Linked DNA regions of Bombyx mori. The protein of the gene in region 2 purifies or fractionates together with the protein of the main gene of each other region. This does not show direct contact. Links are inferred from orthologs where the notes say so. Each region holds a gene or a part of one and is shown on either strand. Other genes may lie near its edges.

What was found.
Region 1: the proteins of histone acetyltransferase KAT2A (region 2) and DNA polymerase epsilon subunit 3 purify together in Drosophila melanogaster (affinity purification with mass spectrometry; 3 studies listed by BioGRID). This does not show direct contact. The link is inferred for Bombyx mori from reciprocal best matches to the Drosophila melanogaster genes Gcn5 and Chrac-14.
Region 3: the proteins of histone acetyltransferase KAT2A (region 2) and molybdopterin synthase catalytic subunit purify together in Drosophila melanogaster (affinity purification with mass spectrometry; 3 studies listed by BioGRID, with this or other methods). This does not show direct contact. The link is inferred for Bombyx mori from reciprocal best matches to the Drosophila melanogaster genes Gcn5 and Mocs2B.

What each region holds. Positions count from the first base shown.
Region 1 is NC_085130.1:7,455,903-7,459,073, reverse strand, and holds DNA polymerase epsilon subunit 3, read left to right. Parts: upstream 1-1,636; 5' UTR 1,637-1,761; coding exon 1,762-2,121; 3' UTR 2,122-2,650; downstream 2,651-3,171. UniProt on the Drosophila melanogaster protein: Accessory component of the DNA polymerase epsilon complex. Participates in DNA repair and in chromosomal DNA replication. Histone-like protein which promotes nucleosome sliding of ATP-dependent nucleosome remodeling complexes.
Region 2 is NC_085120.1:4,787,501-4,791,162, reverse strand, and holds part of histone acetyltransferase KAT2A, read left to right. Parts: coding exon 1-12; intron 13-1,241; coding exon 1,242-1,466; intron 1,467-2,501; coding exon 2,502-2,551; intron 2,552-3,662.
Region 3 is NC_085131.1:1,996,962-2,001,227, forward strand, and holds the start of molybdopterin synthase catalytic subunit, read right to left. Parts: upstream 2,900-4,266; 5' UTR 2,631-2,899; intron 2,560-2,630; exon of another isoform or gene 2,153-2,559; intron 1,906-2,152; 5' UTR 1,590-1,905; coding exon 1,461-1,589; intron 1-1,460. UniProt on the Drosophila melanogaster protein: Catalytic subunit of the molybdopterin synthase complex, a complex that catalyzes the conversion of precursor Z into molybdopterin.

The DNA.
Region 1 (3,171 bases), on a different chromosome or scaffold from region 2:
AACAAAGTTAGACAAAATCAGTGCACATGTCGTAGAATTGTTGTAAAAACCTTTTTCACATTTTTTGAGACACAGGTACTAGGAAATGAAAAAGCTATCTGTTTAGCATAAAGTTTCAAATTAACAGTCACCGAATCTCTATAAAACTTATTAGTAACAAAAAACATAATAGCTTAAAAAAATAGAGAATATAACACGCTATCGCGTTTTTGTTCATTTGGACATCACTATTGTCAAAACAACACTGGCATCAACATTGCACCACGAGTTTGCGCAATACCTCCAAGCGTACCTAACTCAATAAAAATGTATTTATAAATTTTATTTCAATTTTATTACGTACTTAGTAAATTCAACAATTGACCTTCCCTTTTATATGTATTCACGTCATTCATTTTTAATTTTTCATCGATTTCTGTAAAACTAGGTCATTGACCTGTTTAGTTGATTCAGTTGTCAATTTCTATCTAAAAAGTAGATACCTATTATGTTTTAAAAACGAACTAACACGGACAACGTGTCCTTTGATACGCTAATATACGCTTTCATGGTAGTCAATGTATGCCTAGTAAATCTATGGTAAGCCTACTGATATATTTTATTATATTTTCTAAATAATGTTTTTAAGCACACTGGTCACTCGTAAATCAGCTGTTTACGGGTAACATGATAACGAACGCGAAGCTTTTGTGAACTGAAGGCCATGTTATTTTTTAAAGATGAAATTTTTATTGCTGTTCCTCCCTTCAAACCGGAATGCAATAATGCTTTGTGGCAGAAATGAGCAAGTAATTTCGTTCGTTTCTCATTATATCGACATCGTGCAAATCAAATAATTCTACAAACAACACGAGTGTTCGAACCATTGCTTTTTATTTTTATCAACAATCAACAAGGTTTCAAGCGAATTAAATGGCTGATTAAAATAACAGATTATCAGATTATAATAATTTAACCAAAAAATAATAGCGAAAATAAACTTTTACATACTTTTGAGTAATTTATTTTTTGACCGTGAATTATTTTGGATAATGGTGACTGCTAAATATTTTGAGTTAATTAGACGATAAAGTCGATTTCCCACCAAAGCATACAGTTTAAGTTTATCTCATATTGTCTTGATCTTTGCTGCACTACAAGCCCTCTTCTGGTCTGCATTCGTTAAATGGACATTATGCGTCATCATCAATGCGTGCTTTCTTGCCACCAGTGAATTAAAATTATCACGCAATCCTATATTTTTGTAATATTTTTGGAAAACAGATCGCAATGTTTTTATAGCATGTAACGTGAATAAGATTTGAGGTTTTAATTTTGAAGAATAATAGAAACGTTGAATAAACAACAAATAAACACGTGATAACGCTAAATACTAATTGTGAATTCGGTAGGCTACTACACTGCAGGATCTAACTGCTGGTATTGTCCCATCGTTTTATGTAACTTCACCGGGTATCTCATACAGCATAATAATATAGTTTAAGCCACGATACCTATGAAAACTTTGAAAAAAAGGCATTGTATTCCGAGTACCTATTTTTGAGACTTTTTGTAGCACGGCGACAGGCGGCAGTTACTAACCCTTGTATCCATAGATAATACACATAGAGAGTACTATCGTAACATTCGTAACTGTGTATAATCTATAACTGTGACTGTATGCTCCAATCAATGTCAAGAAATGTCATTAGTGCTTCTGGCGGTTAAATTAATGTTTTCATTTAATTCCAGATTTTATAAATAGGAACGTTATAAACAAAAATGGCTGAAAAACTCGAAGATTTGAATTTACCACTCACAGTTGTAACTAGAATCGTAAAAGAAGCTCTTCCCAGTGGCGTATCGATATCAAAAGAGGCGCGAACTGGCCTCGCTAAGGCGGCTTCAGTTTTTGTACTTTATGTGACTTCAGCAGCTACAAATATTGTTAAGAACAAAAAAAGGAAGGCTCTCACTGGGCAGGACGTGATAGATGCTATGAAAGACATCGAATTTGATAGATTTGTGGAACCTTTAGGAGAAGCTCTGGAACATTACAAGACCATGGCTTCGGCACGAAAATCCGCTTCTATGAAGAAAAAAGATGAACAAGAAGACGCTGAGATTATAGAAGACGATTGAATACTACTGCGACTTGAGTTTAAAATGTATAGTGGCGCTTAGTGGTGTATATTCAGAAACTGTGCTGAAAAACTATATGAAATAAGTTCAAAGAACCCATGCCTGTGTTACAAAAGTGATAAATGTTTAAATGAAACAAGTTTCCCATGAACATTTACAACAGTTACCTCGCAATAATTAATCAGTTGGTAATAATGTATGAAGTGTTTTAAAATTAAATAAACTTTTATTAAAAACAAGTAAACTTCAAAAGCATCCCAAAATGAATTGTGTCCACTTACTTTTACATCAGTAAATTAACTACAATTAAAACTTAGAACTTCTCAAAATTTGTTTTTGCAATTTGCTAAAATTAAAAGTATTTTATTTGATTTATTACTGATATTTTTCTAAACTTAATTTTTACTGCCATAAAAATTACTTAATGTTAGGTTATGTATGTATGTATGTTATGTAAATGTTACAATTATTACTAGATCTGGTCACACATCCTTTTAAAACTTGTAATTATAAGAAAATTTTGTTAGAATCTGGCTTTTCTATTATTTTTCAGTATTCTAGAATAGTCTCAAGAGAAATTAAAATAATGGTTATGTTTGTGTGAAAACCTCCAATTATTTTCATTCAATATATCATACAATATTCAATGCCCTGCTTATCTATGGTGGTAGTTCTCGAAACTTGGTAGTTTGTTTTGGCTTTTGTCAAGAGTGGGACATGACAACCAATTTGAATTAAATGATACGAAATATGAATCAAATGAGTCGACTATTATCAAAGCCGGCAATGTGACTTTTGGACAATTATTGGTAAATCAGAAAAACGAATTATTGACTTTGTATTCTGTTGGCAGTCACAAAACTCTTCTGAACGACATCTTAGATAAATAACAGGTTAAGTATTAACCTTTATTTAATGCAGGTTTTGAACCGTATTCTTTGAAGGAGACGATTATATTCAAATCAATCTGTATTGACATATCAATAACATTTTTTTGTCCAAATGCACAGATTGCCACCTTTGATAATAGACGACTCAAATACAATATAA
Region 2 (3,662 bases):
TATTTATTTAAGGTTTGTTATTTTAAATTCGCTACCCCAAGCAGACTGGTCCGCGCAGAGGAAAAACACCATGACCTTCTAAGATTAACAAATTCATTTCGGATATAATTATTATGAAGTATTGAGAAACTTCATGAACTCGAAAATAGCCGTGGCAGACATAATGTAGGTTGGAAAAGGAATCAGTGAATTGAAAAGCATATCTTCTAGTGAAGGAATAGAAGATTTAGGTCCTATACTAAAGTCCTCAAGATAACCTCTCGAGGCTAATGGCATAGGTAGACAAAAATAAATAAAAAAAAACATTACAAAGGTGGGACCAGGACTATTGTGTAGGATTTCAAATTAAAAAGAAACTTGCACACAATTGAAGCAATAATAGTCACATTAGAAAGAATAACAATCTTAGACTTAGTACTTCTTACAGAAATAGGAAGGTGTAACGTTAATAAATAAGATAATGCAATGGGAAAATATGCACATGGTAAAAGATGGAGGCACACAGGCACTTTTGCTTTAGATAATAAATTGACCATTCTCAATGGCTTCTATATGAAAAATCTCTGGCACAGATCTCTTCAAATGGAACATATAAAAAAGAAATTGACTTTATCTTGGCCAAAAAGCCCAAAAACCTTCAAGACGTAAACTTAAACAGAACTTTTCATTCAGATCATAAAATGCTATGCGCTCAACTTACAGGAGCACCTATAAAGAATGATAAAAAAAAAACATTGGACCGTAGACCGCCACTATGCAGAACAGAAGATATTGGACAAGTGTCTGAATTTCGAAAGACACTTTCAAGATTGCCTGAATAAGTTCCGAACAATAACATTCGGACCCTCGGTCTGCCAAACAATTTCAACCGCTACACGTTATTTATAAATTGCGCAGTAATTAAATAAAAGCTGTGTGGTGTTTTATTATAAGACTAGCTGATCCGGCAGACTTCGTAGCGTCTCAATCGATAAATAAAAGACCTAAACTTTTGTATCAAAATAAACTTATAACAAACAAAAGGAATCCGTCCGACCGGGGACACATCAATGGGAAAACAAAATTGTAATTTTTATTTAATTCCGTGCATTTTCATATTTATCTACCTTTTAAACCTTCTCTGAACTTCCACAAATAATACAAGACCAAAATTAGCCAAATCGGTCCAGCTGTTCTTGAGTTTTAGCGAGACTAACGAACAGGAATTCATTTTTATATATATAGATTAAAATATTTTTCAGATACTTCGTAAATGCATCTTAACGCGTTCCCAGCCTCGGATCGAGGGACCACTGGGACAACCTCCATTCGAAAGGCCTTCCATAGCTAAAGCAATAACAAACTTCGTTCTCTACAAGTTCAATTCATTACCACAAAGGGAATGGCAAACAATGTACGATTTGGCCAAGATGTTCCTTCACTGTTTCAATCATTGGAATTTTGAAACGCCCAGCGTCAGGAAGCTGGTGAGTTCCATAAGTCATTATGAAACAATGTTTTTATATAATTAAGTTAGATAATTACCCGTGCGTGTCATGAGGTGTTAAGATTGAAAATTGAGACTTTCTGCTGTGTCCTGAGGAATGTATGGAGATTGATGTTTCCCGCTTTCGTGGGCTTAACCCACGATATCTTAAAAGTGAGCTCTGGGTAGTGCTGAACGGATACCGAAAACATCTGTGGTAGGACTATCCCACTGGCTGGCGACTACTCTCCAACTAAAGTCCGCCGCCAAATAACCTAGTTGTATTCCGCCGTGTGGGTTGGAGAGCCAGTTCTATTCTTCTCCTTTCCTCTTCCATGTTGGGGGTAAACTGTGGTGATGCCACACCCCCGAGCTACGAGATCTGTGGACGGGGATATGGCGGAGGTATAGTGAAACGGTCACCACCGTCGCTCGCCGATCATTAGGCATGAACCTGGGTGTCACTAATGAATTCCGGCTCCGGGAAGCTGTCCTGCCAATCGGTGTAAAAAACCTGTCGTGTCTTGGTCGGAGTGAATCCCGGAGCTCGTACGCAGGGTGAATTGGGGGCCCTTCCAAGCTCAGCGTTAGCTTCTCACACAACCCACGGTCAAACGCTCGCTATGTCCCAAGCTTTATCTTGAAGCCACCTCCAACCTACTACCTCTCCCAATCCTAACTTCTATTTTAGTTATTATGTGAGTCGACTATTATCAAAGCCGGCAATGTGACTTTTGGACAATTATTGGTAAATCAGAAAAACGAATTATTCACTTTGTATTCCATTGGCAGTCACAAAACTCTTCTGAACGACATCTTAGATAAATAACAGGTTAAGTATTAACCTTTATTTAATGCAGGTTTTGAACCGTATTCTTTGGAGGAGACGATTATATTCAAATCAATCTGTATTGACATATCAATAACATTTTTTTGTCCAAATGCACAGATTGCCACCTTTGATAATAGACGACTCATGTATCTGTATCTTTTGTTAATAATAATATGAAAATAAATTAGTGAATATTTATTTCAGCAAGTTTCAAACCCTGAAGATATATCAGCCTACCAGATTAATTATACGAGGTAACTATGATCTTTTAATTAGGTCTATCAGTTTTTATGCGTTCAACCAGGATAGCTCATCTAATATTAAGTGGCTTGCCGAGTTTATGGAAAATACATTGCGAATGTTAACTATCCCAAATTCATCATATTATCTGGAAACGAGGATAATGGTACTAATAGATGGATCATGTAGGTTTACTGGTGGTAGGACCTCTTGTGAGTCCGCGCGTACCACCACCCGCCTTTTTCAGCCGTGAAGCAGTAATGCGTTTCGGTTTGAAGGGTGGGGCAGCCGTTGTAACTATACTTGAGACTTTAGAACTTATATCTCAAGGTACATTTACGTCGTAGATGTCTATGGGCTCCAGTAACCACTTAACAACCAGGTAGTCTGTGAGCTCGTTCACCCATCTAAGCTTTAAAAAAAAAACTTGCATTCCCTATAGAATTGACCAAACATCAGTGTAGGATTATCTAAATTTTTTGTAGCTTTGATTCTTTAAGAAAGTAATCCAAGCAATCTAACTGTGTAGAGCATAACTATACGTAACGTGTCGTTCGTCCGTTGCAACCACGCGATCAGTGCTTTTACGCTATCCAAGCGTCAGTCTCTGTTCTCGTCGAATAGGATCAAGAGTTCGACGTCCAACCTAACCCATAGAGTTCATAGACCATTGAGTTCACCGGATCTTCTCCCTAGTATATTCAGTCAATCACATTAATAGAGTCAGTTTTCGCACAATCGTGAACACTTGCGATTTGAAGTTCATTAATTTCCATCAAAACTAAATGACGAATCCAGAAAGAGTTTTCATATTTTAGTTCTCCTTATGATTTTATTTTAGCATCACTATTCATTAAGAAAAATACACGGATGATTTCAATGCAATCTTTTAATACAATTTTCATTAATTTCGATTGAATGTTTCAATTTGAAATTCGGTACAAACCATTTTTTATGAACTTGAGTTGGTACTGGATATATTTGATTTCAGTAAAGTCATTCATTTAGAACTAATCCGTTTTCTTTTAACAACTACAAATAGTTCAATGCTTTTAAGCTCTTCATGAACTGGTCACCGGTCATTATCCTTCCTGCAAACTAGTCCCGTAGAACCATAGACACAAC
Region 3 (4,266 bases), on a different chromosome or scaffold from region 2:
CGCGCGGACTCTCAAGAGGTCCTACCACATGTTAAAACTTTTATTGTACACGTTACGTTTTTATTACACGATGTTATTCCTTCACCGTGGAAGTCAATCGTGAACATTTGTTGAGTACGTATTTCATTAGAAAAATTGGTACCCGCCTGCGGGGTTCGAACACCGGTGCAATCGCTATATACGAATGCACCGGACGTCTTATCCTTTAGGCCACGACGACTTCAATAAATGTCGTCGGATGTTCTTTAGACGACGGTACCTTTGATTTGCCTCGTGGCCTGGGTCGGATATGTAATTTTAGGCGGTCACGATAAGGTTTATTTCTAATGAAATACGTACTTAGTACACGTTCACGAATGACTTCCACATCGTGTAATAAAAATCCGATATAATAGTAACGTGCGTAATTACTAAACAATTGAGATGTAGATGTATGTATATGGACTCCAGTAACCACTGAACAACAGGTGGGCCGTGAGCTCGTTACGAAAATATATTTTTTTTATCTCGAAACTAGGAAGAAACAACCTTCTAGTTCAAAGTGGCCCGCAGCATACCGTATGAACAGACTTAACTTGAAAACAAAGGTATAAAAATGAGTTTAAATTTTTGAAATATAATCATTGCTAACATCGGTATGACTAAACAATCTCTTGTTATTTACTGCATTTACATGAATATTTTTTACTTCACCACATTTATCTGACTTGGTTGTTGTTTACAAAAAGTGTTCAAAGAGGTCAAACTATAATATAAAATAAATCATTTCTTATCTATGGAACGTAAACAACTATATCTGTGTTGGAAATTGTAAATTTAGAAGATGCAAATAGACAAAGAGTTATGGCCATATTTTCTTTATTTATATCTTCAGCTACGCACGGACGGGTTGGTAAGCTCATGGGGTTCATCCTGAGAGAATTTGCTAACAATAGTCCTAGTAAGAGAAATCCAATCCAGCGAGAAATTAAGTTGGTTATGTATTTGGGCTAGGTTGCTCTTCAAACTCTTTTTGTCTAAGCCTCAGTTTTTTCATTGCAACAATTTCCCCACCCTTTAAACGGAAACTCATTACGGCTTCGCGGAAAATATAGGCAGGATGGTGGTACTTACCCGCGTGGGCTCAGATATGATGCCCTATCACCAATAATTACACAAAAATTATAATTATTGCGGGTTCAATTTTTATAACAAGTAATGTTATTCCTTTATTATAGAAATAATTTGTGAACATTTGTTAACCTATTTCATTAAGAAAATTGCGTCGCTTGATGTGAATGCACCGGGTGCCATATCCTGTAGATCACGAAGAATTTGCTGCCTATAGTGACATGAAATATCACTTAACACTAAAATGGTTAAAAGCCATTACCGTTTTGAACAACGGGCTTCACATACAGAATCTTAACAAAATACCTATTTTCCTAATGACTAGAAAATTTTAAATAATACAAGTTTACCTTTTTTCCTTCAAAATTGTCTCTAGTTGTGCCAATAAACAATGAAATTGCACCGCAGCTATCATCAGTTACAAGTTCACTTATTTCTTCGACTGACAGTCTATCTACTGTTAATTTTATATGGTCCATCCTGTGAAATACTATTTAACCTCCACTCAATGGTGGTATAACAGCTAAGTTGTCTTGTTCATTAATTTCTATATCTACTGTATCCTCACACACTACCTCGTTCTTAGCCAAAAGTATATTTTTCTTAATACTGTTTAAGTTATATTTATCGCATATAATATTCAACAATCTCTGATATCCCAACTTTCTTGGTAAAGTTATGGAAGTTTCTCTAACTCCCGACAATTCTTTTGATTTAGCAAAAAACAATAGCTTCACTGTTACAGTATCTTCTATATTTTCTATTTCCATAATTTACCATAGTCAATCTACCAGCCTGCAATAAAAAGATGTGTTATTATAAACCTGTTTGTAAAAAAAAGTTGCTTAAGTAAAAATAAATAAAAAACATTACAACAAAATAATCAATATAGCTACTGTCAATACTGCTTCTAAATCTGTGTAAATAGTAAACAATAATGATTAAAATACATACATGTAATTTGAATTGAAAAAAAAAACTAGAAAGTACAAAATGGTGCTGCAAAATCTAAAGAAAAATATTTAAAAAATTAAATTCTTACTTTATTTCGAATTGATCCATAAAAGACTAAATATGTTGTACTTGTTGTAGGATAATAAAAAGGTTTTTAATTTCCGTTATACACTTTCCATGTACATCAAAAGTATTTTAAAAAATTATATATCTACTGACTGCATCACCGCGGCGTTTCATTTACTTACTGACTGATTCACTCGACTTACCTACATGAATGTCGTGGATATAGTTTTTATTTTATGGGCGACTGCTTTAAACATGTTGCTGATCATTGGACCGTGTCGGAATTTCACGATCTAATTACATACACCTACTTTCATACAATAGATACCTATACTTTACACAGTATAATATTATTAGATATTTTCAAGTACGTCGTTGGTACAAATGTCATTACAGCGATCATTTAATTTAAACTGTGTGATTTTTATAACTAGGAGGTTATACCGTAACCTTGAAAATCGTAACATTTTATTTATTAAAGTAATTTTAAATATACTTACTGTATCTTCTGTCTTAAATGGTAGTAATGTAAGGGTTTTTTTTCCTCAAACTTAGATTAGAAATTTCACTTCTTTAAAATTCTTACTAACTATTAGGTGTTATAATTAAGTTAAAATTCAAATTTTAAAACTCAAAAGCAAAACAAGAGACAGCTGTTATAGTTTATGAATTAATAACTTTTTGTTTGATCCCAAAAAACAGGCAAAGGAATAGTATTTCATAGGCTTTGTTTCAAAAAGTAAATTCTTTTATCTATCTATCTCTTAGGTTTATGGCGTTTCCTTTTAGATTTCGCCAATGTCAAGTGTATATAATACTCTGCTTTCTATAGCGGGCTTCGTGAATTAAATTAAAGTAAATTCTTTTGCACGAGAAGCGTAAAGGTGTCATTACCAAGCCATACTATTACCTTTTTTAAGGTATAAAAAAGGTAATAGTTTAAAGTTTGAATGATATCAGTTTTCGTAATAGGCCAACCAGCCAAGTCCAGTGATTTTGCTCCATTTCCATCTCCTAGAATCTAGGACCTAGATAGTTGAAAAGACCATATTAGTTTAGTATATTAGTTGCAGAAATACCTAATTGGAAAAATATTACAATGGCATATCCAATTTCATTCTTGTGTTCTAGTCATAGTAGATTTACACTTTTCTTTCTTGAATCTTATCCATACAACGGTTGAATGAAAGAGATCGCTTTAGAAGACAGGACCACACCTTGTAATTAAATTTTTATAGCATATCTACTTCGCTCCCATTGTACTAAGAAAAATTACCCGTGATAAGGTGCATGCGAAAATTTAACATGAAAATTAAGAGTCAATAACAAAACTCAATTTTACATTTATAGTATTTTAAAAATATAGATATTCTTTTAGGATCTCTTTTTAGGGGTTCAAAAAAACCCTCTTTCCAAGCGAGAGTTGTTGATAAAATACTTAAAATTTAAACTTAAATTATAAATATGTCTGTTATTAACTACTATCTCTCCATCATATTAAATCATGTTTATGTTGTATTTTCATGTCTCAGGCCTATTTATAAAATATCTTATAATCCAATTAATAATCATCATATGTTCAATAGTAGTGATCCGTCTTTGCACGGGATGAATAATGATATTGTGAATTATGTAATAATGAATAAATATAATCATATAATGTATAAACTAATTATTGCTGAAAGTACATCATAATACAAGTAAAAGAAAGTACATTATTGTTTACAGTAATGGCCATAGGTAATATATTGTAATTACATCACGTGTATTATTTTTACTAAGCTTTATGTAAAAGCTTCAATATTGACAGTTCTCTTTCAAATGAGAGAAATTACACTTTCAACCCCTACTTTTTAACTCTCAAAGAAAATATTCCTAGAAGTGAAATTTTGAAAAACAGCAACAAAAGTTTACGCATAAACGATAATATGTTTATTTTTTAACAAGTAGCGGAAATACGACATTTCGTATTTTAAAATGACAGTGTCGAAATGTTGTAGCGATGGCTCTATAGGTTGACACTCTCTTATTATACATTAAGGTTAATCCTATGAGTTTAGATTTGAATTCTTTCGGTGATCATGTCTCCTGCCGTTTGACATTCTTTTTCTTCCACTTGACCATAGATAATGCTTA